Notamacropus eugenii: one gene and its partner. The protein of the gene in region 2 interacts with the protein of the main gene of each other region in a biochemical or structural test. Links are inferred from orthologs where the notes say so. Each region holds a gene or a part of one and is shown on either strand. Other genes may lie near its edges. The genes, in order: GOLPH3 and MYO18A.

Region 1 (15,754 bases), on a different chromosome or scaffold from region 2:
TGAACTAAATAGTATTCATCACAAGTTACTGAAAACTATGATTTGTCCCCCGCAATGCTATGTTTATTGGCTTCTTGGTTACTATGATGGATTTGGCTTTCTGGTGTCTGAATAAATGTTTCTGTTAAGCTTTCCATATGGAGGGTCTGTTATACTTTTTGAGTTAGAACTATGCAGGCATATTCAGCATTATTTATAGCCTGCCAAGAGATGTGTGACCTAGCAATCAGATGACCTTTATTGTGAGTCAATTGTCTCCAGCACAACCATAACTATTCTTATTTTGCAACATTCCCCCAACCACATCCCTTTGGGCAAAACCAGGTAATAAATGCCTTAAGGCAGTTACAATTCAGAGGCAGCAAAGTGTTCCAGTCTAGTGGATAGGATACTGTACTAGGAATGAGGAAGACCTGGACTCAAAACCAGACTCAAACTTACTGGAACAGTGATTGTGGGCAAGTCATTTAACCTCTCTGTACCTCAATTTTCATTATCTGTAAAATGGAATCCAAGGTCTATATGTTCTCTTCCAGGTCTAAATCTACGATCCTATGTCGTAATCTAAATACTACTAGGAACCCACAGCAACAACTAGAACAGGTCCTACTCATCCCATCTACTCTCATCTTGGCATGTCAGGAACTCAAGGAGGTGGGCTCTCACCCTGCTGAAGAGAAAGATAATAAGAACCCTTGATATAGGATCAATCTCTAACCCCTCCTCCATAAATTCAGGGGTATCAAATTTTAATAAAATTTGTGGGACCACTAATCTGTACGTAAGGATCCCTGTGGGCTGCATACTGACTTAGTTTTAAAATGTAATGTTACACCAATTTTTTAAAAATGCACTTGGTTAAATATTTCCATTCCATGTTAATCTGGTTTGGGCTGCACTCAGAAATGCAGACCAGGTGTTTAATACCTCTGGGCTAATTCTTTACATAAAAGAGAAAAAAAGCTGACTCCCAAGACTTAATTGGACAGGGCCTCAACCGAAGCCAGAGAAATGGCTTCCTGGTGGCCTCAGACTTTGAGGGAGTGGCTTCCTGGTCAACTGTGGCATAAAAAGCCTATCCAAGGATTTGGTGGCTGTCCCAAGGACACACTTTGCCTGGCTGACCAGACTTTCCAGTATGGAAAAGAAAGGAGCTAATTTAACAGTGCTAAGTGTTGAATCACTGTATCCTTTCTACACAAACATTTGTAAATAACTGCGATTAGTTTTGGAACCAGGAAGCAATATCAGGTTTCTTCACAGAAAGACCACTGATCACTCTTCTTTTCTTAAGAAATAGTTTAGCTTAGCTAGCACAGTACCTAGTACATAGTAGGCACTTAGCAAATGCTAAATACACCAATGCGTACAGTTAAGCTTGCTTTATACCTATTTAATTAAAATACATGAATTTCAACATGTAAAACATCAACTTTTCAGTAAGCCCCTCTGAGTCTCCTACATTGGCTATCCCTAACCATTAATTGCCATGTACTTTTCATTTTATATGGCCAGTTGTTAAGGTACTCTGTTCTTCAATCAGAGTTCTTTCTACTAAGCCATGACGTTTCTCAATAATCTCTGGTTCTAGTCATCCAACCAATTCTGAACCCACCTTACAGTACTATCTTATCATTCAATCTACACACTTCCATTTGTGAGATTGTTAAATGTCATGCAGAGACCCAAGTAGTGTATATCATATTTATGGAAATCTATGAACCTAGTAACTTTTCTACTATGGGGGAAAAGATTGATCATCAAAATCAACTATATTAACCCTCTACAAAATTACAGCCTCTCAAAGCAATTCTCCAATTATGACTAGCGTTGAGATCAGCAAGGTATCTGGGATAGTCACAGCTGAGCAATTGTAGCATGATGGAAAGATACTGGATTTAAGAGACTAGGAGCCCTGGGTGTAAATTACTGCTTGTATGATCTCAGGCAAGTCGGAGAATCTCTCCTTGATTCAGTTTCTTATATACGAAATTAGAGGATTACAACTGCTGATCTTTTGGGTACCTGTGAGTTCTAAATCCAATTACTCTGATCATATCAATCACACTGAAAGCACTGCAACTCTTAAAATGAAGGAAATAGTTCAAATTACTTAAAGCCTGATTCTACCACTAAAAAATATTAAACTGTCTAAATTTCAAAATAGCAATTAAACAAAATCAAATGAAAGACTAAGGGATAAATTATCTTCATGGGAAAAATAAGAATACAGAGAAAGACCCAAAGAATTTAAGCCTTCACAAAATGAAAACAGACCAATGCAATTTCTCACTGGTCACCTCAAAACTAAAAGTTGTTTTAAATTGAATTTCAGAAAGAATTTTTACAGCTAAGCTCGGGGATAAAGGCCTCATTTCTAGAATATATAGAGAACTGACTCAAATGTATAATCATACAAGTCATTCCCCAATTGATAAATGGTCAAAGGATATGAACAGGCAATTTTCAGAGGAAGAAATTAAAGCTATCTATAATCATATGAAAAAATGCTCTAAATCACTGTTGATTAGAGAGATGCAAATCAAAACAACTCTGAGGTACCACATCACACCTATAAGATTGGTGAACAAGAAAATGATAAATGCTGGAGAGGATGTGGGAGAGTTGGAACACTAATTCATTGTTGGTGGAGCTGCGAGCGCATCCAACCATTCTGGAGAGCAATTTGGAACTATGCCCAAAGGGCTACAAAAATGTGCATACCCTTTGACCCAGCAATATCGCTACTAGGACTGTATCCCCAAGAGACCATAAAAATGGGAAAGGGTCCCACATGTACAAAAATATTTATAGCAGCACTCTTTGTAGTTGCCAAAAACTGGAAGTCAAGGGAATGTCCATCAACTGGGGAATGGCTGAATAAATTATGGTATATGAATGTAATGGAGTACTATTGTGCCATAAGAAATGATGAACAAGAAGACTTCAGAGAGGCCTGGAAGGACTTATATGACCTGATGCTGAGTGAAAGGAGCAGAACCAAGAGAACTTTATGCACAGCAACGACCACAGTGTGTGAGAGTTTTTTCTGGTAGACTTAGATTTTTGTAATAACACAAGAACTTCTTACAAAAAAAAAAAAAAATCCCAATGGTGGATCTCAAGGCAAAATGCCTTCCACACTCAGAGAGAGAAATATGGAAGTCACTCACATAATGTAGCAGATCATGTTTGTGTATGTGTATGTGTTTGTGTATCATGTTCTGATTTGTTATACGATTTCTTTCATTTATCTTAGTCTGACTACATAGCATGACTATAGTGAAAATATACTCAATAGGAAAGTATATGTAGAATTTATACAGAATTGTATGCAGTCGTGGGGAGGGAGGGGGGTAGTGGGGGGCAGGTGGGGGGGATAAAATCTCAATTGTATGGCAGTGATTGTTAAACATTAAAAAATAAAAATAAAAAAAAATAAAAAAAAAAATTAAAATCCCAATGGTGGTTCTCTAAGGCAAAATGCCTTCCACACTCAGAGAAAGAAATATGGAAGTCATTCGCAGAATGTAGCAGATCATGTTTGTGTATGTGTATGTTTTTGTGTATCATGTTTTGATTTGTTATATGATTTCTTCCATTTATTTTAGTCCGACTACATAGCATGACTATAGTGAAAATGTACTCAATAGGAAAGTATATGTAGAACCTATACAGAACTGTATGCAGTCATGGGAGGGAGGGGGGTAGTGGGGGGTAGGTGTGGGGGGGATAAAAATCTCAATTGTATGGCAGTGATTGTTAAACATTAAAAAATAGTTTAAAAAAATAATAATAAAATTTAAAAAAAAATAAATTGAATTTCAAACAAATAAATATAATATTTCCATAACATTATAAAACACTGGCTTTCTACTAAAGAGTTCCAAATAATTCCTTGTTTCCTTTGCTAGATCTTCAACCACCACAATCCCACTATCTGTGGTCAGTCCATAAGGCTTCCTTCAAAGGTTTCCTCTCTCTTACCTCTACACAAAATCACCTGGAGATCTCATCAGCTACCAAGAGTTCAATTATCATCCTCATGCAGATGGCTGATTCCCAGATCAATACATCTAACCCTAGTTGCTCTCCGGAACTCCAGTCTTTTGTCACCAACTGTCTCCAGAATAGCTCAAACTGAATAACCTATAATCACCTCCAAAATAGAACCCATTCCCTGTAAATCCTGCCACCTTGTGAATTTCCCTACTGCTGTCAAGGAATCCTCCCTGATGCCCAGCTTCACAATCTCAATGTCATCCTAAATTCCTTACTCTAATTCACCGCACGTATCCAATCAGTTGCTAAATTTTGTCCATCTTTCTCTCCACTCACAGTTACAACCCTAATTCAGGCCTTCATCACCTCTCACTTGGACTAGTGCAAGAGCCTCCTAATTAATTGGAATTCCTGCCTGAAGTCTCTTCCCATTTCAATCCATCCACTCCAAAGTGGCTGCCAAAGTAATTTTACTGAAGTCTAGTGATGATCATGTCACCCCCTACTCAATCAAGTCCAATGGGTACTTCTTACCCACACGATCAATTTCAGAATCCTGTTTGCTACTTAAAGCTCATCGAAACCTGACCCCTTCTACCTTTCCATTCTCCTTATATACTTTAGGAACCAGCCAATACTAATCCACTACTTGCTGCTGCTAACAGTGGCCATTCTATCTGGAGCCACAGTCTCCATGTGTTCTCCCTCCTCTGCCTTAACATTCCTGGCTTCTTTCAAGACTCAATTTGAATGCCACTTCCCCCAGAAAGTCTATCTTTGGTCTCCACTCTTCCTCAACCCCACTTCTTCACCCTCCACACCCCCAGCTACTAGTCTTCCCTTCCATCTTTTCCAGGATTCCTCGGCTATTAGAATTCAAGATCCTTAAGGACAAATTTTTTGAATTACTCAGTATTCCCAGCGCTTGGCTTACAGCAGAAGTTTAATAAATGCTTTTTGGTTAAAAACAACTCTTGTACAATACTGCATTTATTCTTTGATATTTATGAAACAGATAAAGAACAGGCATAACATACCCATCTATACTTGGAAACTGAAAATACACCAAGTTAAACTTGGTCAAAGACACACAGTCACTGATTCATAGAACTAAGGCTAAGCAAGAGAGTAGGAGGCACTGCAACACATTAGACCTAATGCTTTTAAGTTTTTTGTTCCCTACACCAGTATTCTAAAAGAATGGCAACATTGGTTAATGAAAACCAAAAAGTTAACACAGAATATTACCTATCTGGGATAAAGAAAGGTTAAATTAGGATAGAAAAACTAAAGCCTCAGTACAGAAATTCTATGCCCATGTTCATGAATTTTGAATAATTGTACGCAAAAAATAAAATTTACTGATTCTTCTTTTGAGTTTGCTCCTCAATACCGCAGGCCTGTGGTTACTATGTTGAGTTAAAATACATATACACTAGATTGAGATGTAGCACTGCCCTGACAGGGAGATAATTTATGTCTGTTTACCTCCTGTCTTGACCAAAATGTCACCAGAAATACAACTAAATTCTTTTAAAAAGTTCAATTCATAGTAAGAAAAATTGCAACACTCTAAAACCATTTCTTTTTAATATAGCACGGATTTTTAAAAGTCTTTTAACTTTACAAACTATTTTACTACAAGACCAAATGGTGCTTCCCACAATAAACTCTCCTTTAAGAAAATAATACCCAGCAAAAGTTTGGTGGTTAAAAAAATCTAGATTCTTCCCTATTTATCTCTTCCCATCCATTGACAAAAAATAAATCAACCAGGCAGGCTTATACGCAAAAGTACAGAAAACTTCCTGGATGAGCTTCAGCCGACTGGACAAATACAGACCTGGGTTGGGGGGGGAAGTGCAAGGCATTGATACTTTCAAACTGCCACTAAAATGGTTCTTGGTGTCTGGCGTCTAGAGCTTTCCCCTGACCTTTGAGATCTCCCTAACTTCTCTAACTGGGGTCAGACGGTTTCTTCCTCTTCCCAGGACCTGCGGCCGACTTAAGCCCTAGGAGTTGGGGGGCGGCTGGGCTGCCTAAGTGGATCACCCCAATTTCAAGGGCAAGCTCGATTTACCACGAGCACCGCGGAAGGGCTACGGGGAAGGCGCGGAGGGATGGTGGACAGGCGGGCATTACTAAGCAGGACTCCGGGCTAAGGAAGCGCTGTGGACTTAAGGGAATGGGAAGAAACGCTAAGCCATATGTCTGGAGGCCGGCTCAGCGGCAGCCCCCTCCCCAGGGCCGGGCCGCCCGCCCTCCGCGCCGGCATGGGGGCCGGTACCTCTCGGTCCTTCAGGCCCAGCAGCAGCACCTCCTCCATCAGGGTCAGCCGGGTTTCCTTGGAGTCGCCCTTGTCGTCGTCGTCCTGCTCATCCCGGCGGCTCTGCTCGTCGTCGTCGCCGCCGCCGCCCCCTCCGCCGCCGGCCGCCCGCTCCTTGTCGGCGGCGCTGCGCGAGGCCTCGGTGCGGCGCTGCACCAGGCCCGAGCTGCGCTGGGTCAGCGAGGTCATGGCTGCGGCCGGGGCCGCGGAGGTCGGGGGCAGCGGCGGGGCTGCGCGGCGGGACGCCTCGGCTTCGCTGCCCGCTAGCCCGCGACGGCCCGCACGGGCTCCGCTTCAGGCGCTGGGGCGACGTCCGGCTGCGCGGGCGCCCGCGGGAGTCATGGAGGATGGGCCTGGGGCGGCTCGCTCGGCGGCCGGGAAGAGGCCGGTGCGCGGGCAGGGAAGGGGCTCCTGCTCGCGGGGGCGGCGGCGGTGACGGGGGCGCCGAGGTGGAAGCGGCGGCCGCGACTTTCCCCCAATATGGCGGCCCGGGCTGATGTCACCGGAGGATGTGGCAGAGTCCGCCGGGGCTGGGGGGAGGGACCGGAAGAGGCGAAAAAGGACGGGGGTGGGGGTGGGGACGGAGGGGCGGGGAGAGCCCTGGGAGGGGGCGGGCGGGGGTCGGCCCGCTCTGTCCCCGCCCCCGCTTCCTAGCCCTGGAAGCCACCTCCCCCATCTCGTGACCGCCTCCGGGGTCCTCCTACGATCTCCCGCCCAGCTCCCCCGCTTTGGGCATGCGCTGGAAAAGTGACCCGGGCTTTCCGAGAACCGCGCGGAAATGAATCCAGCCTGCGCCCCTCCCCCGCGGCACTCTCTAGGAGAGGCGCTGGGAGGGCGGCGGGCGGGAAAGAGGAGGGGGGAGGGAGAGAGGGGTTGGGAGGGCGGGGCGGGGGCGGGGCGCTGGGAGGAAGGGCGGGGCGGGGGAGAGCCGCTGAGAGGGGGGAGGGGGAAGGGGGAGAGCCGCTGAGAGGGGGGAGGGGGAAGGGGGACAGTTGCTGGGAGGGCGGGGCGGGGAAAGAGAGTGGCTGGAGTCCACTTCAAAGACGCCTCTGAAACTTAAAGTAGGCGGAGTCTGGGAAAGTCAGTTACCTTCCCCCGGGTCAGTTTCCCAATCTACAATATGAAGCAGGTGGACGAGGTGGCCGCAGAGGTCTCTGCCACGTCTAGACCTCGGATCTTGTGATTTGTCCACTCAAGTCATGGCCCTGCTAAGATTTCCAGAAAGTCCAGGAGGATGTGTGGTCTGCTGGTCTAAATAAGTGCAAGAACTTCTGCCAGAGTTTACAAGCTTGTGAAATGTGGCTGTGCAAATCTTATCCCCATCTTCTCTCTTGTCCCGTAGAGCAAGATAAATTTCTATACCCCATTGCCTGTATTTCTTATTTCCTAGTTGTATGCAAGAACAATACTCAACAGTTGTTCCTAAAACTCTTGAGTTCCAACTTCTCTTCCTCCCTTCCTCCCCACCCATCCCCTTTGAGAAGGCAAACAATTCAATATAGGCCATATCTGTGAAGTTTTGCAAATGACTTTCTTAACAGTTGTGCTGTGTAAGACTAACTATATTTCCCTCCATCCTATCCTGCCCCCCATTTCTTCTATTCTCTCTTTTGACCTTGTCCCTCCCCAAGGGTGTTGACTTCTAATTGCTCCCTTCTCTCATTGCCCTCCCTTCCATCATCCCCCCCACCCTGCTTATCCCCTTCTCCCCTACCTTCCTATATTGTAAGATAGGTTTTCATATCAAAATGAGTGTGCATTTTATTCCTTCCTTGAGTCAAATGTGATGAGAGTAAGCTTCATGTTTTTTCTCTCACCTCCCCCCTTTTTCTCTCCACTGAAAAGTCTTTTACTTGCCTCTTTTATGAGAGATAATTTGCTCCATTCCATTTCTCCCTTTCTCCTCCCAATATATTTCTCTCTCACCCCTTAATTTCATTATTTTAAGATATGATCCCATCCTATTCAATTCACCCTGTGCTTTGTGTGTGTGTGTGTGTGTGTGTGTGTGTGTGTGTGTGTAATCCCACCAACTACCCAGATACTGAAAAAAGTTTCAAGAATTACAAATATTGTCTTTCCATGTAGAAATGTAAATAGTTCAACTTTAGTAAGTCCCTTATGACTTCTCTTTGCTGTTTACCTTTTCATGCTTCTCTTGCTTCTTGTGTTTGAAAGTCAAATTTTCCTTTCAGCTCTGGTCTTTTCATCAAGAATGCCTGAAAGTCCTTTATTTCATTGAAAGAACATTTTTTTTCCCCTGAAATATTTATTATACTCAGTTTTGCTGGGTAGGTGATTCTTGGTTTTAGTCCTAGTGCCTTTGACCTCTGGAATATCATATTCCATGCCCTTTGATCCCTTAATGTTGAAGCTGCTAGATCTTGTGTTATCCTGATTGTATTTCCACAATACTTGAATTGTTTCTTTTTAGCTGCTTGCAATATTTTCTCCTTGACCTGGGAACTCTGGAATTTGGCCACAATGTTCCTAGGAGTTTCTCTTTTTGGATCTCCTTCAGGAGGTGATCAGTGGATTCTTTCAATATTTATTTTTCCCCCTGGTTCTAGAATATCAGGGCAGTTTTCCTTGATAATTTCATGAAAGATGATGTCTAGGCTCTTTTTTTGATCATGGCTTTCAGGTAGTCCCATAATTTTTAAATTATCTCTCCTGGATCTGTTTTCCAGGTCAGTTGCTTTTCCAATGAGATATTTCACATTATCTTCCATTTTTTCATTCTTTTGGTTTTGTTTTGTGATTTCTTGGTTTCTCATAAAGTCATTAGCTTCCATCTGTTCCATTCTAATTTTTAAAGAACTATTTTCTTCAGTGAGCTTTTGGACCTCCTTTTCCATTTGGCTAATTCTGCTTTTGAAAGCATTCTTCTCCTCATTGGCTTTTTGAGCCTCTTTTGCCAATTGAGTTAGCCTATTTTTCAAGGTGTTATTTTCTTCAGCATTTTTGGGGGTCTCCTTTAGCAAGGTGTTGACCAGCTTTTCATGCTTTTCTAGCATTTCTCTCATTTCTCTTCCCAGTTTTTCCTCCACCTCTCTTACTTGATTTTCAAAATCCTTTTTGAGATCTTCCATGGCCTGAGACCACTGAATATTTATTTTGGATGTTTGGGATACAGAAGTCTTGACTTCTATGTCTTTCCCTGATGGTAAGCATTGTTCTTCCTCATCAGAAAGGATGGGAGGAGATATCTGTTCACCAAGAAAATAACCTTGTATAGTCTTATTTTTTTTCCCTTTTTTGGGCACTTTCCCAACCAGTTACTTGACTTTTGGGTTCTTTGTCAAGAGTAGGGTATACTCTAGAAATCTGTAAGATCTCAGTTCCTCCAAGGTGGCACAATCAAGCATGTACACTGGTCTGGGAGATGAAATAGATTTTTGTGCCCAGAATCTTAGCAGTTTCCTCTCCACAGCCACCTGGCCTCCAGTTCCGCTGCCATTCAGTGTGATATAAAGATCAGCTCCCTCAGGGCCTCTGCACAGGGCTAAGGTAAGAATCAGCTCCTCAGTGCCCCCAGGGTTTTTGTGATCCAACAATGGATACGGGCTGCTGTAGGGGCTGCTGTGGGAACTGCTGCCACCTGCCCAATGTGGCCTTTGCAGCTGCTGCCTAAGGCGGGAGCTATAGGAAGGCCCTTCTCCCTTCCTTGCCAGCTGAAAAAACCCTATCACTGACTTTGGGCACCTGTGGGTTGAGGGATCTGCGGACCCGCTGCTGCTGTGACTGAAGATTCCACCCCCGAGGTGTCCTCCTCCCAGAGCCACCCCGCACTGCGTGGCCAAGGCTGGGCTAGGCTCTGCTTGGTGTCTGGTGCAACAGATGTTTCCCATGGGCCTTTCAGGTCACTCTGGGCTGGAAATCTCCTCCACTCTGTTGTTCTCTACTTCTGCTGCTTTAAAATTTGTTGAGAGTCCCTCTCTATAGGTATTTTATGGGCTGTGTGGGGAGAGCCTGCATATGTGTGTCTTTCTAATCTGCCATTGTGGCTCTGCACCCCCAACCATATTATCTTAAAAGTAAATTACATAAATCCTTTTTTAATTATTTTCTAGTAGTTAGAGAAAAAGAAAAATCCAGTTCTATATCTATCAGACTGACAAAAGTTGACCAAAAAAAGGAAAATGACAACTATTGGAAGGTCTTCAAGGGAAAAACTGGAAGGTTAACATACTGCTGATGAAAGTATGAACTGATCCAGCCATTCTGGAAAATAATTTGTAACTATACCCAAAATATTACTAAACTGTTCATACTCTTTTGACCCAGCAATAAGGTTCATATCTCACCTCAGACACTTGACACTCACTAGCTGTGTGACCTTGGGCAAGTCACTTAACCCCAACTGCCTCATCCTGGGTCATCTCCATCCATCCTGATGAATATCTGGTCGCTGGATTCAGATGGCTCTGCAGGAGAAATGAGGCTGGTGACCTGCACAGCCCTCCCTCACTCAAAACAAAGTCAAGTGCAAGTCATATCATCATTTCTCTGATGCCATGGTCTTCTTCAGCAACAAAGGACGAACACACCACTACTAGGTCTACGCTCCCAAAGGGAAAGCAAAGGAAAAGGATATGTATGTACAAAAATATTTGTACTGATTCTTTTTGTAGTAGTATAGAGTTGAAGACTAAGGGGATGCCTATAAATTGGAGAGTGGCTGAAGAAATAGAAATATATAATATACAAATATAATGAAATACTGTTGTGCCATAAGCATTTCTGAAAGCAGCAGTTACAGAAAAACATGGAAAGACTTGTATGAATTAATTCAGAATGAAATGAGTTACACCAGGAGAATGGCTTACCTAATAACAACTTTGTAAAACAAGCAACTTTGAAAGATTTAATAATTGTTATCAATGCAGGGTTCAACCAAGACTCCTGATAACATATGATAAAGCATACTACCTTCCTGCATCTTGACTGAAAGGATGGTTTTCCAGTGCAGAATGAAACATTTTTTTTTGGATTTGGAGAATACAGAAATTTGTTTTGACTGTTCACATTCATAGTTTTTCTTTTTATTATTACTTTTCAGTGAGAAGGGGGTGTGAATGGGTAGGAGATAAAATTGATGTTAGTTCTTTGAAAATAAGTGTTTTGATCTATAATCCCTTATTCCATCTATGACCAATCTACTTACTTGATATATACATAACCATACATACACACACACAGACATATACAGAGCGGGGTGGGGGGGAAGGAAAACTTCTAAAACGTTCAATAAACATTCTTGAGAATCTATGAGAGGACATGGACAGGAATAGGACAGAATCAAAAAGATCAATTATGATATCCACATTGATAGATCACAAATCCATTGTACCATTAAGGTATGGTACATGCCTCATATTTAAATTCATACTATTTTAGAGCTTAAAGGAACCTTGGTAGATGTAGTCTGACTTCCTAGCTTGACTAATGAGAAAACTGTGATTCAGAGACGTGCCCAAGGTCACACAGCTAATTAATGGCAGAGCTAATACTAGAACCCAAATTGCCTGACTCCCTAATCAAGTGCTTTCATGACACCACATTGAATTCTTACTTAATTTCATTAAATGTATTTGTATACTTTAAATACCTATATGGTTAATTAAATTTTAAGTTCCCTATAGTTTGCTAGGAGTTATAGCCCTTTTGAATGTACAGCCTACCCTAACGTGACAGGACAATGAGCTAAGCTCACAATGTAATAATGTAATCATGGGAGTGAGCAGGATTGTAAAGGGAAAACTGTGTAGCCTTTATGATTTCAAGCTGTTCTGTGACACAATCTCATTTTTTTAAATACTAGCTTTCTTCCTGTGAGATAGACAACCCTGATCACTGGGGTGGATGTTATACAGGAAATAACAGTAATTCATATTTATTTGTATAGCGTTTTAAGGTTTGCAAAATGCTTCACACCTCTCTCTTTTGAGCCTTACAAAAGCCCTGTTGTGAAATAGATGCTATTAGTATTTCTATTTTACAAATTAAGAACCTGAGACTTTCTCACTGTCACAGTGTCACTCAGCTAACAAGTATCTGAGGCAGGATCTGAACAGAGGCCTTTCTGATTCTAAGTCCTTAGATAAAAACTTTTCTTGTTTTCTGTGCTAATGACAATGTCCCTTATACTAGAAATGACAGAACCAAAATGGCTAACAGGAAATCAATACACAAAATAAGGAGATAATAGCACATCTAATTGCCCTTGATCGATCAATCAATGAATCAAAAAAATATTAAGTACCTACTATGTGCTAAGCTAGGTTACAAATATAAATATTGTATTTTAATATTAATAAATAATTAATAAATAAATATTATTATGCTTACATTCTTATGGAGAGACTGCTAGAGAATAAATGTTTGTCCTTCATACTTGAAGGGCACTAATGACATCATGATGTTGGGGTCAAGGTACAGTGTGACTTAATGTGGCTGATCAGACTAACATGAACTCGGAAGGCTCTCCCACAGGGCAGGCACAAATAGTCTGAATATTTAGGATGGAGATGCCTGTAGATTTGTACATCCTCTTGATGCTACTACAATTCTGCTTTGCTCACAGAGCACACACCTTTGATGAAGGCATGTCATAATGGGCAGTCTTGTGCCACTGTCTCCTATGTCTTAAACTGACACTAAAGTTCTTCAAAGAGATCTTGAAAGTGTCCTTGTATCACATCTCATGATGTCTGTGTGACCATCTGCCTTGTTCGAGTTTTTCATAAAATAGTCTTTTAGGTAAACATATGTTTGATGTTCAGGCTACGTAGTCATCCTATCAGAGTTGCACTCTGCAGTAGAGTTTGAATGCTTGGCAGTTCAACTCAACAAAAGACCTCAGTGTCTGAAACCTTATCTTGCCCGGTGACCTTTAGAATCTTCCTAATACAATTCAGAGGGAAGCAGTTCAATTTTGTGACATGGTACTGGTATATTGTCCAGGTTACAGAGGCATGCAATAATGAGGTCAGCACAGTGGCTCTGTACACCTTCAGTTTAGTGGATAGCCTAATACCCCTTTACTCCCACACTTTGAGCTAGTTCTGGCTATGGGTGCATCAACCTCATCATATATGTATATATTCTTGGAAAGCGTACTGCCAGTGTAAGTGAACTTATCCACAACATTCAGAATTTCTCCATTTGCTGTAACTGATGATTTCACATATGGATGGTGTGGTGCTGGATGGCGGAGGATCTCTCTTTTCTTAGTGTTGGTTGTCAGGTCAAAATTAGCACAGTGGCAGAGATTCAATCCATATTCTGTTGTATATCAGTCTCAGAGGCTGTGGCGAGCACATAATCACCTGTGAACAAAAAGTCATGAACCAACTCTTCCTTCACTTTAATCTTGGCTTATATCCTTTTCATGTAAATAATTTACTGTCAGTGCAGCAGCTGACCTTGATACCATTTTCATCCTTGTTGAAGGTGTCTGACAGCATCCTGAAAAACATGATGCTAAAAAACTTGGGAGCAAACACATAGCCCTGCTTCATTCCACTGGTGACAGAGAAAGTGTGAGAGCATCCTCTTTTATCCAGAACATATACAAGCATGCTGACATGGAACTGGCATAGAATATTGATGAACTTCTCCAGGCAACCAAACTTCACCATGATCCTCCACAACCCCTCACAACTGACAGTATCAAAGACTTTAATCAGGTCAATGAATGTTGTGTACAGACTTCTGTTCTGCTCCTGGCATTTCTCCTGGAATAGTCAGGCAGCAAACACCATGTTGACTGTTCCTTGGCCCTTTCTGAAGCCACACTGGCTCTCAGGTAGATGGCCATCTTCCAGGTAAAGGATCAGCTGATTAAGAAGGACTCTGGCAAGAATCTTGCCAGTATTAACTAAGAGATTTTCACAGGACAACCAGTTTCCTTTTCCTTTATAGACATGCACAGCAGAGGCATCCTTGATCTCCTGGAGGATAACCTCCTCGTCATAAAACCCAGAAGAATTCAATCCACTTCTGTATGAGCAGTGGACCCCCAGCAGGCATTTTGCCACATCAGAGGAGCCTAATGGCATTCAAAACCTCTTCTTCAGTTGGAAGTTTAGCTAGCAAGGGATTGACTCAGTGGTTTTAGCATTGAACACCATAGAAGTGTTTTTAGCCCATCTCTCCAGGATCATGTCCTCATCATTGATTAGTGTGGCTTTATCAACACTGAGAAGTTGAGATGCACCATAGGTCTCTGACCCGTAAATGTCTTCAGGGCTTCATAGGTCACTTCGGATTGTTGCTGTCAGTGTAAAACTGAATTTCATCTGCCTTTTTACTGAACCAAGAATCCTACATCTCTCTAAACTTTGCTTGCACTTTACTTTTGTTACAGTTAAATGTTGCCTTTTTAGAGAGGGACAAACCATCTTACTGATAAATCCTGTAGAGTTCTTTTTCATTTAGCAGTTTCTGAATTCCCCCATTATTTTCATCAAGCCAGTCTTGATGTTTTTCAAGTGTTCTGGCCCAGGTGAACAAATGCAGTGCTGGACACTCACTCTCTGAAAGCTGCCCACTCCTTTTCTGCCCCACTGTGACTAACTGTGTGCTGACTCACCATTCTGTCCAGATCAGTTACAAACTGTTCACACTTGAAGTGCTTTAATTTGTTGATGCTGGGTCTCTGGATGCCCATCTTGCCTAGGGTCTCTGCTATTGCTGAATGGGAATGGTTAGCTAGGAGGGGATAAATTGAGTACTCTACACCACATAGCACCTTTGTCAATCTCAGATCCTGCCTCTCTCTTCTCACAATGATATAGGCTATTAAATGCTCCTAGGATGTACCCATGACATTTTGTTGCTTTTAGGTAAACAGAAGACAGTGTTGGTGATGAGATGGTCATGAGTCTTCAGTAGTAAGTGACTATCCAACTCCATTCCTCCCAAAGACTCCCTGATATGTTTGATGGTCTATGCCTTTTTTGGCTTCAAGTCATCTAGAATGATAAGCTTATCCTCTTTCAGCACATTGATGATGAGGGTCTCCGGGTCTCCACAAAATTTTTCTTCGACCTCATCAAGGTTCATCATGGTGGGGTCATGCCCACTGATGAGAGTAGCGTGTTATTTTCCTGTATGGCAGTCACATTGTCACGAGCCTGTCGTTCACTCCTTTCAGGAAGCATACAAGCTTGCTGACTAGATTAGATCTGATTGCAAAAGTTACACCAGCTTCACAGCATTCCTCCTCACAGCCAAAAAATGTGCATTCTAATTCCAACATCAGGAAGCTGGCCTTCATTTATCAGCCTTGTTTCACTCAAGGATTTGAATGCATGTCACATTTGGATGTGTTACCTGCTGAGTTCTCTCACAAGAGTTGTTCATCTTTCAGGTCTATTGGATTTTGTGTTTTCTGTAATCACATACACATTCCACATACCA
Region 2 (16,110 bases):
GAGGACCAAATGAGATAATATTTGTAAAGTGTAGGCTCTACATTAATGTTAGCTCTTATTCTTATTATAAATAAAGGTTTGATGATTTGACTTGACTTTGGCATTCGTACATTGGAAAGGTCTGTAGGAGATCCTAACCTATGCTATTTTGTAGCCTTCAGTCATCTCAGTTTCCTCATCTCTAAAGTATGGGGTGATAGGCTGAAGTCTTTCATCAAGATTTCCTTTCATAATTCATGTCAGGGTTTTATAATGCTCCCAGATAGCTTTCTGCATATTTCTCCTCCTGTCTAACAGCTTGTTCTTGGTCCCAGATGGTTGACGTGTGGGCTCTGATGAGCTGGGGGACAGCATGAGCCAAAGGGACCAAGAACCAGAGCCAGGGCAATAACAGCTGGATATTATAGGATCCTCAAATTTAGAACAGAAAGGGATTATTTATTTATTTACTTATTTCTTAAGTAACCAAACCTTCCCTCTACCAATTCAGGTCAACAACTATAGTTTATAATCTTAAGAATTGCTTGGGAGCACACAGAAGCCAAATGACTTGGCCAGGGTCACACAAACAGGTCTTCCTAACTCTGAGTCTGGTTCTGGATCCAATCCACCAGGCTGCCTTTCACTGTTTGTGATAGGCACCTCCTTAATAAAGTCTTGCTTCATTTAACTGTGTCCTCCTTCCCCTCTGGTCCTCTTGAGGAGCCTCTTGGATGCCTAAGTTAGTACAGATGAAAGGCCTCAGTGGAAAAGCTCAAGATCCTCAGTACAAACCCCCACAAGGAACTTCTCGAAGGAGTTAATGATCAGTAAGTAAATAATGCATGACTGCAAATGTCAGCTCAGTCCTCTGTCTCCGTGTCCTTTCCTGCTCTTCCAGGATCTGTTCAGTTACTAAAAATTCAAGGAGTTTGACCAAGAAAGGGGAGGAGTCTTATTTGGGGTAGTAACTTGTGCTTGAAGAATGAATATGATGAAATAATTTCACATCCCCCTTTCACCTTTCCTCTTCCTGACTTTCCACCCTTCCTGCATCTTTAAACACTCTCAGGGTGAGGTCGAAAGTACTGTACTGTATTACTGCTCTGCTAAAAGACCTTCAATGTCTCCCAGGGCCCATGAGACAGAGCAAACTCTCTAGCTTGACATTCAAGGCCTTCTACAATCTAGCCTTGTTACTACTTCACTACATAAATCTTTCACTACAGTTTGTTAGCAGTTTGACAGTGGTCAGATAAATTTACTCATAGTAGCTAGCAATTTAAGGCTGGCAAATCTCTTTACTTATGCTGTTTTGGAACAAGCCTGGGAAATAGAGGCTGTTACGATGATCCTCATTTTGCAGATGAGGAAAATGAGACTTGCCTAGAGTCATATAGCTAGCAAATGTCTGAGGCCAGGTGTGAATGCTGGGCTTTCTGATTCCACACTCTATGTACTGTTGTGTGTTTGTCCTTCATTGCCGAAGAAGACCATGCCATCAGAGAAATAATGATGTGACTTGCACTTGACTTTGTTTTGAGTGAGGGAGGGCTGTGCAGGTCACCAGCCTCACTTCTCCTCCAGAGGCATCTGAATCCAGTGACCAGATATTCATCAGGATGACTGCAGATGACCCAGGATGAGGCAATTGGGGTTAAGTGACTTGCCCAAGGTCACACAGCTAGTGAGTGTCAAATGTCTGAGGTGAGATTTGAACTCAGGTCCTCCTGACTCCTGCACTGGTGCTATGTCCAGTGCACCACCTAGCTGCCAGAGTCAGAGTGCTGATTATTTTATGGAGGATGGTTTTTACTACTTACTACAGCTACTATTACCACCATTACCACTACTACTGCCACTACCCCTACCCCTACCACCACCATTGCTACTACTATTTATATTAACACTACTACCACTACTACCATCACCACTACCACTACTAGTATTAAAATTAATACTTCTACCACAGCACCATTGTTATTAATACTAATACTAACACTAGTAATTATTGGTAGTATTTAATAATTAATTAATACTAATTAAGTAATTAATACTAATTACCACCACCAATAATATTACCATTATTACTATTATTAATACTAGTACTACCACTGCCACCACTAGTACTATTAATTCTAATACCACTACCACTATTAGTACTTCAGATAATACTAATGTTAACCATGCTTGATTCCTTACTCTCTCATCCATCCTATCCTTACCCAATCCTAATCCAAGTCTTATCTCATCCACCTTTGCAACATCTCTCATCACTCCTTTCCCACAAGCTACCACCCTAATTCAAGCCCTCATTACCTCTCACTTGGACAGTAAGAGCTTCCTACATGGCCTCCCAGGTTCCAATCTCTCCCTGAGTCCAATCCATCTTCCACACAGCAACCAAAACAATATTCTAAAATCTAAACTACCACCACTATTACCACTACTAGTACTATAATTAATACTAATGCTACTACCACCACTATCTCTGGGGCTGGAACTAACCTCAGAGATCATGTAGTTCAATGGTCTCATTTTCTACGAGGGCCAAGAGGAGCCATGCCCAAAGTCACAGTCAGTAAGGGTCAAAGGTTGGGTTTGGACACAGACCTATATCCACTGTGCCATTTATTTACTGACTCATTCCACTGTGAGCCAGGCTTTCTACTTGGTGCTGGGAATAATGCAAAGACAAAATGAAAAAGACCTTGCTCTTAAGGTCCTTGAACTCTCTGGATGGCAAATAACATTCACCTGAATAGGTAACTATGAAAGATAAGCCAAATACTTCCTTACAGAAGGCAAGGGCGGGAGGAGCCTAGGAGATCCGGAAAGGCTGGTGGAAGAGGTTGTCCTTGATCTGAGCTTGGAAGGAAGTCACAGATGAAAAGAATTGGGAAGTCAGGAGGGAATGCTTTACTCCAGGTGTGAGACAGACTGCAAAAACCCTGGAAGGGAAATGTTGGGTCCACAGCATTGAGTATATGAAAGAGAGTGGTAAGTCTGGCAACTGGAGGCATGCTGGGAAGGGTTTTTAATGTATGCCAAATAGAAAAGTTTGTATTTTACACTAGACAGAGCTGGGGGTCGCTGGAGCTTCTGAAGGAGGTAACTATCATGGTCACATCCCCAATTTTGAATATCACTTTGGCAGCTGTGTGGAAGATGGATTGGAGTCAAGGAGAGGTTGGAGCCTGGGAGGCCATGTAGGAGGCTCTTATTGTCCAAGTGAGAGGTGATGAGGACCTGAATTAGGGTGGTAGCATGTGGGAGCGGGGTGATGTGAGATGTTGCAAAGGTAGATGAGACAAGACTTGGCTACTCATTGGACAGGTTGGGTCAGAGAGGAAACAAGCATGATTCTGAGATTGCCCATCTGAACAAGCGGAGGGATGGTGGTGTTCTTCATAGAAGTATGGATGCTGAGATCAAAGGAGATTTGGCAGTGGTGGAAAGAGAATGATTCTGTTTAGTATATGGCAAGTATAAGACAAGTACAGGGCATCCAAGAGGATCACAGATTTAGAGATGGAAAGGATGTCAAAGTCATGAGGTCAATCCTCTACCCCCGTTTTCCAGATGAGGAAACAAAGACCCAGAGAAATTAAATGATTTGACCAAGGTCACATAGGCAGTAAACAGCAGAACATAGGATTTGAATCCAGGAACTTAGACTCCAAATACAGTACATTTTTCATTATACCATGCTGATTCTTGGGAAAGGAGGTAAGAATGAAGAGACAAAGTTTGTATATTCATACATCAACATCTATATCTAGGTCCATATTTATCTAGACAGATATGGATCTATAGATATTATATATTATATACACAGATGATGGAAAGATAGTTGGATTAAATAGATGATAGATGAATAGCTAGATAGTTGGAGACAATATATGGTGGATAGACAGTAGGATAGATGGATGGGTAGATAGGTGGATGAATAGATGATATATAGTGGATAGATAGTTGGATAGATGGATGGGTGGATGGATAAATAGTTGGATAGACATACAGATAGGTAGGTATACAAGTAGGTGGGTAGATCTGAAAATCATCTGCATAGAGATGAAAGTTGAACAAATAGGAGTTGCTGAGATCACATAGAGAGAGAATATAGAGAGAGGGGAGAAGAGGGTCCAGGTCAGAGTCCTGGGCTTACCCATGCAAAGGTGGTGGGCCATCAATCATAATCGAACAAAAGGGACTGAGAAAGAGCGGTCAGAATAGGTAGAGGAGAACCACGGGGGAGCAAGATCACAAACACCCAGGGAGGAGAGCATATCCAGGAGAAGAGGGTGCCTAACAGTATCAAATGCTGTAGAGAAGTTGGAAAGAATGAGGTCTGGATGAAATACCACCTCATACGTATCAGACTGGCTAACATGACAAAACAGGAAGATGGTAGATGTTGGAGAGGATGTGGGAGAGTTGGAACACTAATTCATTGTTGATAGAGCTGTGAGCTGATCCAACCATTCTGGAGAACAATTTGGAACTATGCCCAAAGGGCTACAAAAATGTGCATACCCTTTGTCCCAGCAATACTGCTTCTAGGACTGTATCCCCAAGAGATCATAAAAATGGGAAAGGGTCCTACATATACAAAAATATTTATAGCAGCTCTCTTTGTGGTGGATAAAAACTGGAAATCAAGGGGATGCCCATCAATAGAGGAGTGGCTAAATAAATTGTAGTATATGAATATAATGGAATACTACTGTAACTACTGAAACGATGAGCAGGAAGACTTCAGAGAAGCCTGGAAAGACTTATATGAACTGATGCTGAGTGAAAGGAGCAGAACCAGGAGAACTTTGTACACAGCAACAACCACAATGTTCAAGGAATTTTTCTGGTAGACTTAGTACTTCATTGCAATGCAAGGACTTAAAAAATTCTCAATGATCTCCCTTAAAGCAAAATGCCTTCCACATCCAAAGAAAGAACTATGGAATTCGATTGAAGAATGAAGCGAATAATTTTCTTTTGTATTATGTTTTGTTTTATGATTTCTCCCATTCATTTTAATTCTTCTATGCAACATGACTAATGTGAAAATGTATTCAATAGGAATGTATGTGTAGAACCTATATAAAATTGTATGCCATCTCAGGGAGGGAGTGGGGAAGTAGGGGGGAAGGAGGGGGAGGGAGGGGAAAAATATCTAAGATATATGGAAGTGATTGTATAACACAGAAAAAAAAAGAATGAGGTCTGAGAAAAACCCAGCAAATTCGTCAAATAAGATATCATTGGTGAACTCATGTAGATCAATTTCAGCTGAGTTGACAGCCAGGTTTGTTTTTTTCTTTAGAGGGGCTCCAAAGTTAGTGGGAATAGAGAAAATAAAGGCAGTGAGTAGACATTGGCTTTCCTAGGTTACTTAACCACTCCATGCCTCAGTTTCCTTATCTGTCAAATGGGTGTGGGGTCTGGACTAGATAATCATGAATACCCATTCCAGCAGTGTGGACATTGATCTTTTTTATTTGGGCATTGACAGAGCTAGTGAGGAATATTAACCCTCCAGTTTCTCAAGGGCAGCAACTAGATTTTTCTATCCTCAGATCTGGCATACAGCAGGGGCTTAATAAATCCTCAATGAATTGAGATTAACCAGTTAAAAGGCCTGAACCAAGACCAGTTTAGAAGCCATCCTTTGTTTTCTAATATCATCTTCAGGGGTTCTAGAGGACCCTCAAATGGGTCCTTGGGCTCAGGTAAGATGGGGCTTTGAGGAAAGTGCATGCTGCCCTCTAAATAGCCAATCTGTGGCTAAAAGAAGTAAACAAATCAGGAAGCCTTTATTAAGCACCTAGGATATACTGGACACTCTGTTAAGCACTGAGAATACTAAGACAAAACCTAAACTGTCCCTGACCTCATGGAGCTTATATTCTAATAGGGGAGGGGAAATGGGGAGGGAAAACAATACATCCACAAATTAAACAAACATACATATATATGTATATAGGTAAAAGTATAATATATAATGTAAATATAGAATATACATAAAATATGAAATACAGGGTGATCCAAAAACAACTGCATGAATACTTTTGGGCTATCATATACACACACTAAAACTTGGGGGGACGTGGCACTGGAGCTTGTGCAATCCTAAAAGTTGGAGGTGAGGAGAGAGTTCATTCCAGGCATGGGGACAGATTGTGCAAAGGAATGGTGGCAGATGGTATGTTATGAAGAACATGGCTAGCAGGCAAATTTGGCTGGAATGAGCATGGAGGATGGTAATGTGTAATCAGCCTGGAAAGCTGGGCTGGACACAGGCTGTGAAGGGCTTTAAGAGGTAAACAACAGGATTTACATTTTATCCTGGATGGAACTGAGTCATTGGAGTTTCTTGAGCAGGGAAGTGACATGATCAAACCTGTGCTTTAAGAATATCAGTTTGGCAGCTGAATGGAAGACTGAGTGGGGAGAGGCAATGAGAAAGTGAACTATGGTGGTCACTGTGTGAGTGGAGAGAAGCGGGAGATGCCAGAGGTGTTGAAGTGGTAGAGACAAGAGTCAAGATGGTGACTGGTTATGAGAGACAGAGAAGAGTAAAGAGTCAATGATTGAGGTGGGGAACCTGAGTGACTGGAAGGATGATGATGCCTTTGACAGAAATATAAAAGTTAGGAGCAAAGTGGTTTTGAAAGAAAGATAATGAATCCTGTTTTGGACTTTCTGGATTTAAGATACCTATGTGACATTCAATTGGAAATATCCAGTAGGTGTCTAGGTGATAAGCAATGCATACCTAGGGATCAGGGGAGAGACAAGGACTAATTACAGAGATCTGGGAGGCACTTACAAAAAGGTAAGAATCTAATTCATGGATGCTCACACACACACACACACATATATACAAAGACAGAGACAGATAGGATATGAGGAAAGAGGGAGAAGGAAAAAGAGAGGGAGAGAGAGAGAGGGAAGGAGAGGGAAAGGACAGAGCCTTGGGATGCACTCAGGAGGTGGGACATGGGTGATGATCCAGCAAAAGAGAGAGGTGTCTGGATAGGAAGGAGGAAAATCAAGAGAGAACTGGGCTACAACAACCCAGAGAGGACAGAGTAACAGGAGAGAATGATCAAAGGTGTGAAATACTGAAGCAAAATCAAGAAGGATGAAGCTTGAGAAAAAGGTCTTCGACTGGGTGATTAAAGAGATCTTGGTAACTTTGTAACAAGCAGTTTCAGTCCAGTGATAAAAATGAGGACGGAAGCCATATAGCAAGAGATGAAGAAGTGAGAAGTGCAGAGTGTAGCCAGCTTTTTTCTAGTGCGGCAGTGAAAGAAAAGAGAGGTAAAAAGTGAGAGCTTAAGGGGATATTAGCATCACGTGAAAGATGAGGAAAGACGGGCATGCTTGTAGGCGGCGGAGGAGACGGTAGATGTGGAGAAACTAAAGATTATGGAAAGGGGATGATTAAGGAAGGGGGGGAGGGTCTGCCAGAGAGGCAGGAAAGATTAGCAGAACTAAGGGAGGGGTTGGCCTCGCTCATCAGAGACAGGAGTATAGGAGACAATGGCAAGACAGGAGGGAACTCAGGGCAAATGACCTAAATGCATATCCGTTAAGCTTTTTTTTTTTGGTATGTTATTCAATTACCAAAACAAACCAAAAAAAAAAAAAAAAAGAGGCAGAAGGCTCCCCCCACCCCTCCCCGTTCTCTTTTCACTACTACTCTCTGATCTGTCGGGATGGGGCTCGTCCAAGCCTGGAAAAACCCCTGGTCCAGCTCCAAGGGGTGCTATCCAACCCCGGCCTGTAGCACCCTTTCATCTCGCGGTAGCTCCCAGGTTAGTTTTCTTCTGGGCACTAAGGGAAACGGCATCAAGGTATGTCTTCAGCCCTGTAGATGCTTTGGGGGAGTGGGCTTCCTTCCCCCTCCTCTCTAAGTCGATACACACAAAGAAAGGCCTGACCCACTCCCAATCCTCTCTCCTAGCAAGATCAGGAGGGCTTTTCTCTGCTGGTCTCCTTGTACAGGGAGCTTCACCGAAAGGGGTCACGGTGGCACGAAACAGACACCTTTCCTTCTGTGCCCTCGGGGCCCATGCCCATTTCAGGCAGCGCCAGCACGAATCCTGTGCCTGTCTGCCCCGGGCAATAACGAAATGCCCAGCGGTCCCCTTTGGGCAGGGGCAGCGCGGCCCTGGGTCCTGTCGTCTCGGCGGCGGCCAGCAGGGTCCCGGTGCTCGTACGGCCGAGAGGAGCCCGAGGCCGGCCGGGGTGTTTATCCCGGGCGCGACCAGCAGGGCGCTCCCTCCTCCGCGCTGGGCTGGGCTGGGCAGGGCTAGGCTAGGATGGGCAGGGCTGGCTGGCTGGGCGGCGGGGCTGCGCTTCGCTGCGCTGCGCGGGCCTGGCCTGAGCAGGGCTGAACTGGCCCGGCTGCGCTGCGCTGCGCTGGGCTGTGCGGGGCCGGGCTCGGGTGCCAGGGCTGGGCTGGGCTGGGCAGGGCTGGGCTGGGCTGGGCTGGGCTGGGCTGGGCTCGGGCGGGCTGGGGGCGGCGCCTCGCGGCTCGGGGGCTCGGCTGGGCTCGCTCGGAGCGCCTCTGCTGGCCTCTGCTGGGGTCTGCTGCGTGCGCTGCAGCCGGGACTGGGAGCCGGCGCTGGAGCTGGGCCGGGCCGGGGCCGGGCCCGAGCCCTAGCCGGTGCATGCCGCGTCCCTGCGTCTCCTGCCTGGCCGCTCGTCCGGCGGGCTCCGGCGGCCGGTGAGTGCGGGCCTGGCCCGGGGCGGGAGGGGAGCCGGAGAACCTGAGAGCCGGAGCCGGGGGTGGCCCGGGTGGCGGACGGGCTCCTCCTCCTTCTCCTCCTCCTCCTTCTTCCCCTCCTTCCTCTCCTCCTCCTCCTCCTCCTCTCCTCCTTCCCCCCCTCCCGGGAAGCCGCGGCGGCCCCCGGGCTCCGGCTTCTTCCCCTGCCCTTCTCTGGCGCTGGGAGTGCACGAGAAGACGCCGGCGCGTCCTTCCCCGGGCCCCTGGCGCCGGGCCCGGGCATGGACTGGGCTGCAGACGCCCTCGGACCCGAAGGGTGCAGAGGAGAGGCAGGCGCTGTCCTGCAGCGGCGGGGGGCAGACGGCCAGGGCCGGGCGCCCAGCCCCCTTCCTCCTCCTGGGCGGGGGGTGCCCTTTATTTCGGAGGGAGCTCTGGGGGTGTGCATTGTACTGTATGAATGGTCCGTGCGTGGGAGTAGGGTGGCGGTGAGGTCGCCCCCTCCCCTCCCTGGCCCCTAGTGAGTCTGGGTGGGGGGTACATGGGACTTAGGAGTAGGGGGCTGCACTGCCTTAGGCCCAGGCTCTCCTGACAGCCTTAAGGGGAGGGGGAAAGCAAATGAGATTGGAGTCCATTATCCTCTCTCTCGGCCCTCACCCTTTCACTGCCAAAACAGTGTAGCCCTCCCCCCACCCCCCAGCAGCTGCCAGACAGCTGGCAAAACAATGGAGTAAAGGCGACCCTGGTTCCTGATGCCCACTGCCCCCCTTCCTCCGCTTCCCACTACAGGCAAAGATGGCTGGGGGAATCCTTGGGCCTTGGGGGATTCTGAATCCTCAGCCTGTTTCCCTATTTACCTTTTCAAAGAGGATAGAGAGGAGGCAGAGCAAGAAAGGGAAGCAGGCTAGCCTGGGGCAGGGGTGAGAGACCGGCCCCACTAACCTGTCATGCCAGTTAGTTGGGTGACAGGCGTGGGGGTTATCTGCTCCTCCCGGGGTTCCCTGGGGGTGGTTCCTTGCCATTCTAAGCTAGGCAAGGAGTGGTCATGTTTTTGGGCAGAAGGAGATACAGCACACACACGTTTGGCTTTGTCGTAGTGGGTTGGGAAGAAGGGGGCGGGCACACATGGGCACATAGATCTCCCAGACACATGTGCTCTTTACAGATTATTTAAGAACAGCAGGAGCTCAAAGGAGAGAGTGCACTGGGGCTGATGATGCTCAGTGCTTTGTTTTTGCTGGCTAGCTCAGCTGTCCCAGAACCCTGACAGGCTTCCCTTGGCTTGGGGCATTTCTGTGGGGTCCCGTCTGGCCAGGGCCTTTCTGCCAATCTGTTCTTTGAGGAATGAGAATTGGTCTTTTCTTTGGGCAGGATCACATTATAGTATAGTTTTAGAGCTGAAAGAGACCTCATGAACCAATTAATTTTACCAATGAGACTGAAACCCAGACAGGTTAAATGACTTGTCCAAGGTCATACAGCACTTGTGAACCAAACCCTCGAGGTCCACTCTTTCTTCTGGGCTAAGCAGTGAACAGACCTGTTTCCATGTCAATGGGGCTTATCCTGCTGCTGCCACCATTTTTGTTGGTTTGGGGGCCAGTTTCTATTTGGGGATGTTGCAAATGCCCATGCTGGCACTTGTCGGGAGCCTGGGGCTTCTGGCCAGCTCTTGGCTGGCTCCTCCATTGGTCAAGGCTTCCTTCTTGATGTTTGCCTCTTGAGCTTCCTCTCTGGCTCCTTTGTTCACGATCTCAGGCTTTCCAGGAAATGGCCTCCCTTTCAGGTCATTACCAGTTAAATATAGCACTGGGTGGAGGTTTGCCCATCTATTGATGTCTTCATGTTGGGTGAAAGGAGAGACTCTGGGGATGGAGAAGGAGGGTGCCTTCTCTATAGGTAGAGGCCCCGAGATCAAGGGAAGAAGGTTTAATGGGGCATCAGTGCCAGGAGTGGTATGGGCGTTCTTGTGGATAAACTTCCTGGTGGAAGAACTGAACTTTGAACTGTGGGTGGCCTGATCCCCTGGCTGGCCTACCTTCCTGCCCTACAGTTTGTTTACTGGGCCCATCACCAACACCCAGTCTAGGGCAGAGGGCCTGGATGTCCCTGTATGAAAGATTGACACCGTCTTCCCAAGACCTAATATTTGTCCTGGCACATAGTAGATGCTTCATAAATGCTTGCTGATTGATTGTGGGGAGCAAGAAAGGGTCAGATAGGACATCGATGGCATGATGAATTGTCCTTTGAAGGAAGCTGGAGACTTTACGCTTGGATTCCTCAGTCAATCAGTAACCACTTCTTCAGTGCCTACTATGTGCCAGGTACTACTAAGTGCTAGGAATCCAAAGAAAGGCAGTGCCATCCCTTGTTTCTTCCCCTTGCAAGTCCTGCTCCCTGACCCCTACCCTCTCTTCTTCAGGATCTCAGTTATGGTCTTCTTGGGGTATCTGTTTCTCTCTGTTGCCTCTGATTGCCTCTTCTTGCCCAAACTAGTAGCCCATGTTACTGGTCTTTGTCCAACGGCTCTGAGGCTGGGACAGGCCAGTCCCACAGAAGTCCCACAGGTCCTTCCAGGGGAGTTTTGGGTGGAGCGGAGCAGCCAGGAGGCTGGGGCCTGGCCTAAAGAGAGAAACCACCCTGCTGAGGGGTGGAGTACTTACTTTATTTGCCTAGTCTGGAAGACTAAATGCTTCCTTGCTGTGCTGGGTCACAGACTCAGAGGGCAATGCTGGGGTGGGCTTTTTGGTGTGCGTGTGGTTCCTTTCCTGCCTTGTGTAGTAGAGGGCTGTCTGCAGCCAGACACTGTCCATCTGGAGCAGGCCAAGCTGAGCAGCAGGAACGACCACAGGCCTCCAACTGATCTGCTTTCCTGACCTGCTGGCCAGATTCCAAACTGCTGGCAGTTGGGTCCTGGGGCCCCAGGGCTCCCCAGATTCTTGGGGTACCTTGGCCCCCCCCAGGGGAGGAAGTAATCACCTGAGCGTGGTGAGTAAGGAGAAGGGAATTTATCTGATTGGCCCCAGCTGATGGGTCTAGGCAGCAGAGCTGCTCAAATCACTTGTTCCTGGCTTGTCTACAGGGAGGGTCCGAGACAGGGGGCTTGCTTGCTCTCAGTCCCAGATTGGTCGTGGGCCTCATGTTCCTTCGGATCTGAATTTACATCCCACCCTCCTGTTTCTAGACAGTCTGAGGAGAAAGCTTAGGAACATTTCTTAGGGGGGTAGGACATCACTGGAGGCTGACAGGCTGGAGAGGGGATCAGAGAGGGCCTAGAGAGGAGTGGGAGCCCCCCTTCTCCTCCACAGCTACCATCTTTTTGACCAGTTCTTTGTCTCGAGGTAGGAATTGTGCGGCCTGTAAATTATCTCTGTTCCCCTGACATTTCAAACAACCTCTACTCACTCAGTGGTTTAAGCTGCGGTGCTGAAGGTTCTTTTTCTCTGCTGGGGATTTTGCAGACTTTAGCAACGGGTTTTTTATGAGATACCTGGTGTTCAGAGTTTGATCAGGGTCACCCAGCGAATTGAAATAGGATGAGGCAGACCTGGCATTCCCTTGTTCCAGGCCTGGGCTGGGAGGACCTGGGTTCAGATCCTGCCTCTGATGCTGCTTATATCTGTGTGACCTTGGACAAGTTGTTTGATTTCCCAAGGCCTTAGTTTCTTCATCTGTAAAATGAGAGGATGAGACTAGGTGGCCCATCCAGCTCCATGGATTTGGAGTCAGAGGACCCGTATTCAAATCTTTCCTCCACTACTTACTTTTTGTCAAACGAAAAGGTTGGTCTAGATGAGCTCCAAGGCCCTTTCCAGGTCTGGGGGCTATGCCTTGGACCAATGTCTGGGCTTTGTGGGGAGGTGCTGAATGTATCATGGTTAATAATCAAAGGGAATTCTTTTCAAGAAAGATGCTTTAAGCCTTTGAAAACAGGTACTGGTAGAGTTGAACCTTCTGGAGGTCATAGGTCATGGAACTGGACAGAAAGCTTGAGATAATTGAGTCCAGAAAGATTGTTAGAGACCAGAAGACTTGGGTTTGACTCTTGTGCTGGCTACATATAGATGTGTGACCTTGGGCAAATGACTGTTCCTGACTGTTCCTGACTGGCTCGGGGAGATGCCTCCTACAAAATGAGGAGGTGGGAAAAGATGGCTGGTCTTGCCCACAATCTAGTATCTTCCCCCAACTCCTCCTTTTACAGAGGAGGAAACCGAGGCACAGGGATGGGAACTGAGTTGTTCAAAATCACTGGATTAAGGACAGAGCTGTCATTTGAAAATTTCCATTAGGAGTCTCCTGCAGGGTTTTTTTCCCAAGATCAGGAGTATTTGGAGAAAGAAGAGATATCAAGGAAGCCAAACAGAGGCAGGTTAACCAGTGGGGAAACAGGGTCTTTGGCTACCTTTGCTGGGCCAATGAGATTCTTGCATTCTTTGTGGGGAGCTGTGGCATGGCTGGGGCTGTTGTCTGGCCAGTCCCTTCCCTTTCTGAGTGGCAATAAATGGCCAGGGAGGGGCTGCTGTGACTCTGGGCGCCCCACGTGGGGGGGGGGGGCAGGGAAAGTTAGCTAGCGTGTTGCCGGCTGATGTCACGCCAGACATGTGTAGTTGGTTTGGAATACACCTGGAGTCAGATAAGCACCCTGTGACTGAGTGGTGAGTCAGACTGTTGCGAGCTCAGCAGAACAGGCCCAGGTGGGCCCCTCCTCACCTTATTCCCTGGGCTGGGCTAGGCTGGGCTGGGCCGCTTCTAGCCAGCTCACCAGCTCATGTGTTGAGATTAACCTCTGTCTGCAGTTTGGAGAAGTGGTCACTGTGGGGGACAGCTGGGAGATAAAAATCCCCTGAGCTGGAGGAAATGGCCTCTCTGACAGGTCAGAGGCCAGGGAAGGAAGGCCCATCATCTGAGAGCAAAGCATTTCCTTTGTTTTTATTTATGAGTCAGGCCTGGACAGGGATGGAGAAGGGGAGGCCTGGAGAGTAGTCCTTGCCTTGACCCATTCCTCATAGTAGATTCCAGGTACTCCCTGGCCTGGGGGCTGATGACTTTTTCTATAAACTTCTGTCCCTAGGATTTCTGACACCCCAACAGGAAGGTGACCCATTTAAATCTGTCCTCATTTAAAGTCATGTAGCACAACCAGGCAGCCTGATACAGGGATGATTTGGAATTTGGGAGTGGGGGGGCGGTGGATAAAGATTGAACATGGCCTGGTTGCTCAGCCTCTCAGAGTACTCAAAGAGCTCTGACTCTAGTCAGAGCATCTGAGTTCAAATCCTGCCAGTGATGCTCACTACCTGGTCACAAACGGCAATCATTTTACCTCTCTGGGCCTCTGGTTCCCTATCCGTAAAAAGAGGAAGTCCCTTCCAGCTCAAGACCTGAGATCTTTATTCCTATGACTGATAAATTGGGGACACAATTCTGACATGCCCTCCCAGAAGAGATGGGTATAGGGGAAACAACTGGAGAATATTCCACAAATGCGATTGTAGAATTACCTGTCCTCTTCTCCTATATTTTGGTGGGGTTCAGGTAGAAACAGTCTTAAGATGAAGCATTTTCTTGATAATGTTTTCCTATTTAAAATTCTATGGCCTTTTATAGATGAAGAGGACCATTGGGTCATGAGCTTTTTCATTGAGGGCTCACAGAAAGCATCATGGGAATGACACCATTGCCAGTGAGATGATGGAGCAAATGGCTTCCTCAGCCTTCTCCCCATCCAAGTGGGATCTCTCCTCTCTGTGAGCGCTCTGTGTTCCTCTTTCTTTCTCGCCTTCTTACCATATTCTCTTGTCATGGAAACTAACTAACTTGACTCTTGGGAGCCCATGGCACGGCTTCAATGCTAAGTTAATATAGTTGTTGGCTTGGCATGTTGAAAAAAGGGGATGAGGATTGAAATTCCAGGATTCCTCGGGTCCTTTCTAGCTTCTGTAGGCTGGGATTCTGTGATTCATTAAGTATTTAGAGGCTGGGAGAGATGGAAGGAGGTCTTACAGATCAAAGTAGTATAACAAAGAAGCAAGAGCTCCCATTCTTTGAGCCAGAGTGGAAAAGGAATTCGCAGGCAGGCCCATTCCCTCCCACCCCCAGCCCACAGTGGGGTCCCTTCATGGGGGACAAAGGAATCAATCATTTGTAGCATCAAGAGGGGGCTGGCCAGGAAGGCCACACCTCGTATGAGGATGAGCAGAGACCATGGGCTAAGATGAGGGAGGTGGAATACTTGACTAATTTCAAATACCTGAAGGGCTGTTCTGTGAAGAGGGGGATTGTACTTATTCTGGCCAAAGAGAGCCAGTCCAGGAATGATGGGTGGAATCTGCAAAATGGGCATTTTAGGCCTGAGGTCAGGAGAGACGACTCCTGTTCTAGTGGTCCAGAAGTGGAATGAAGTTGCCTTAAGAGTCAGTGGGGTCCCCTCTTACTGGAGGTCTTCGAGAGAAGGTCTGAGCAACATCTGGTGGGTTGTGGTGAAGATGCTTTTTGGGTACGGGTGAGTCTGTGTGGCCACTAAGGTCCCCACCAAGTCTGAGATGTTAAGAGTCAGTATTATAGATGAATGACTGAAAACACATCTAGTAAGGACCTACTGTGTACCAGGCACTGTGCTAAGAAGCTAGGTGGTACAGTAGCTAGAGTCAGGAAGACCTGAGTTCAGATCTAGCCTCAGACACTTCCTAACTATGTGACCCTGGGCAAGTTTTTCTTAAAGTTCTTTCTGCCTCAGTTTCCTCAACTATAAAATGGGGACGATCAAGTAGCAACAGCAGCAGCAACACTAATGATAATGATGATAATAATATTTTTAAAGTGCTTAATTAGTGCAGTTCTCAGAACATAGTAGGTACTATATAAATGCTTGTTTTTTCCTCTTTCCCTTTTCCCTTTCCTCTCCTGCAGACATCAGGGTTACAAACACAAAAGTAAACTCCTCAAGGAGTTTACATTCTAATCAGGGTAACACATGTTGGGTAGTGACCTTGGAAGGGAGTTTGTTCTGAAAGACAGTGTAACTGAGTAGAGAAAGCACTCAGCAGGAACTAGATTCTGCTTTTAACACTAGCTGTATGACCTTGGGCAAGTCCTTTTATCTCTCAACCTTTCCACATCCTAGGCATCTCCCTCAAATTGACCTCCTAAAGCTGTAGAGGGGTGGTGGTCTGCATTGGTGGTGGAGAGAGCTTCTACTCGGACATTTCCAGTGCCAGTAAAATCAGAGGCTTTGCTCTTGTTTGAACATCAACCAGCGTAATCCCAAAGACTAAACCAGGGAGGTGGCTGAGGAACAGATATGGGTGTGGATGAGGTCTTAAAACATCCTGGAAAAGAGGTGTTGGCCCTGGGTTGTGGAAACAGAATTAGAATCTCCCAGCTCTCCCAGGGCC

What was found.
Region 1: the proteins of MYO18A (region 2) and GOLPH3 form a complex in vitro, tested with the Homo sapiens proteins (2 studies listed by IntAct). The link is inferred for Notamacropus eugenii from reciprocal best matches to the Homo sapiens genes MYO18A and GOLPH3.

Annotation. Positions count from the first base shown.
Region 1 is NC_092875.1:429,089,936-429,105,689, reverse strand, and holds the start of GOLPH3 (Golgi phosphoprotein 3), read right to left. Parts: upstream 6,666-15,754; 5' UTR 6,518-6,665; coding exon 6,290-6,517; intron 1-6,289. UniProt on the Homo sapiens protein: Phosphatidylinositol-4-phosphate-binding protein that links Golgi membranes to the cytoskeleton and may participate in the tensile force required for vesicle budding from the Golgi.
Region 2 is NC_092873.1:36,662,388-36,678,497, reverse strand, and holds the start of MYO18A (unconventional myosin-XVIIIa), read left to right. Parts: upstream 1-8,497; 5' UTR 8,498-8,713; intron 8,714-16,110.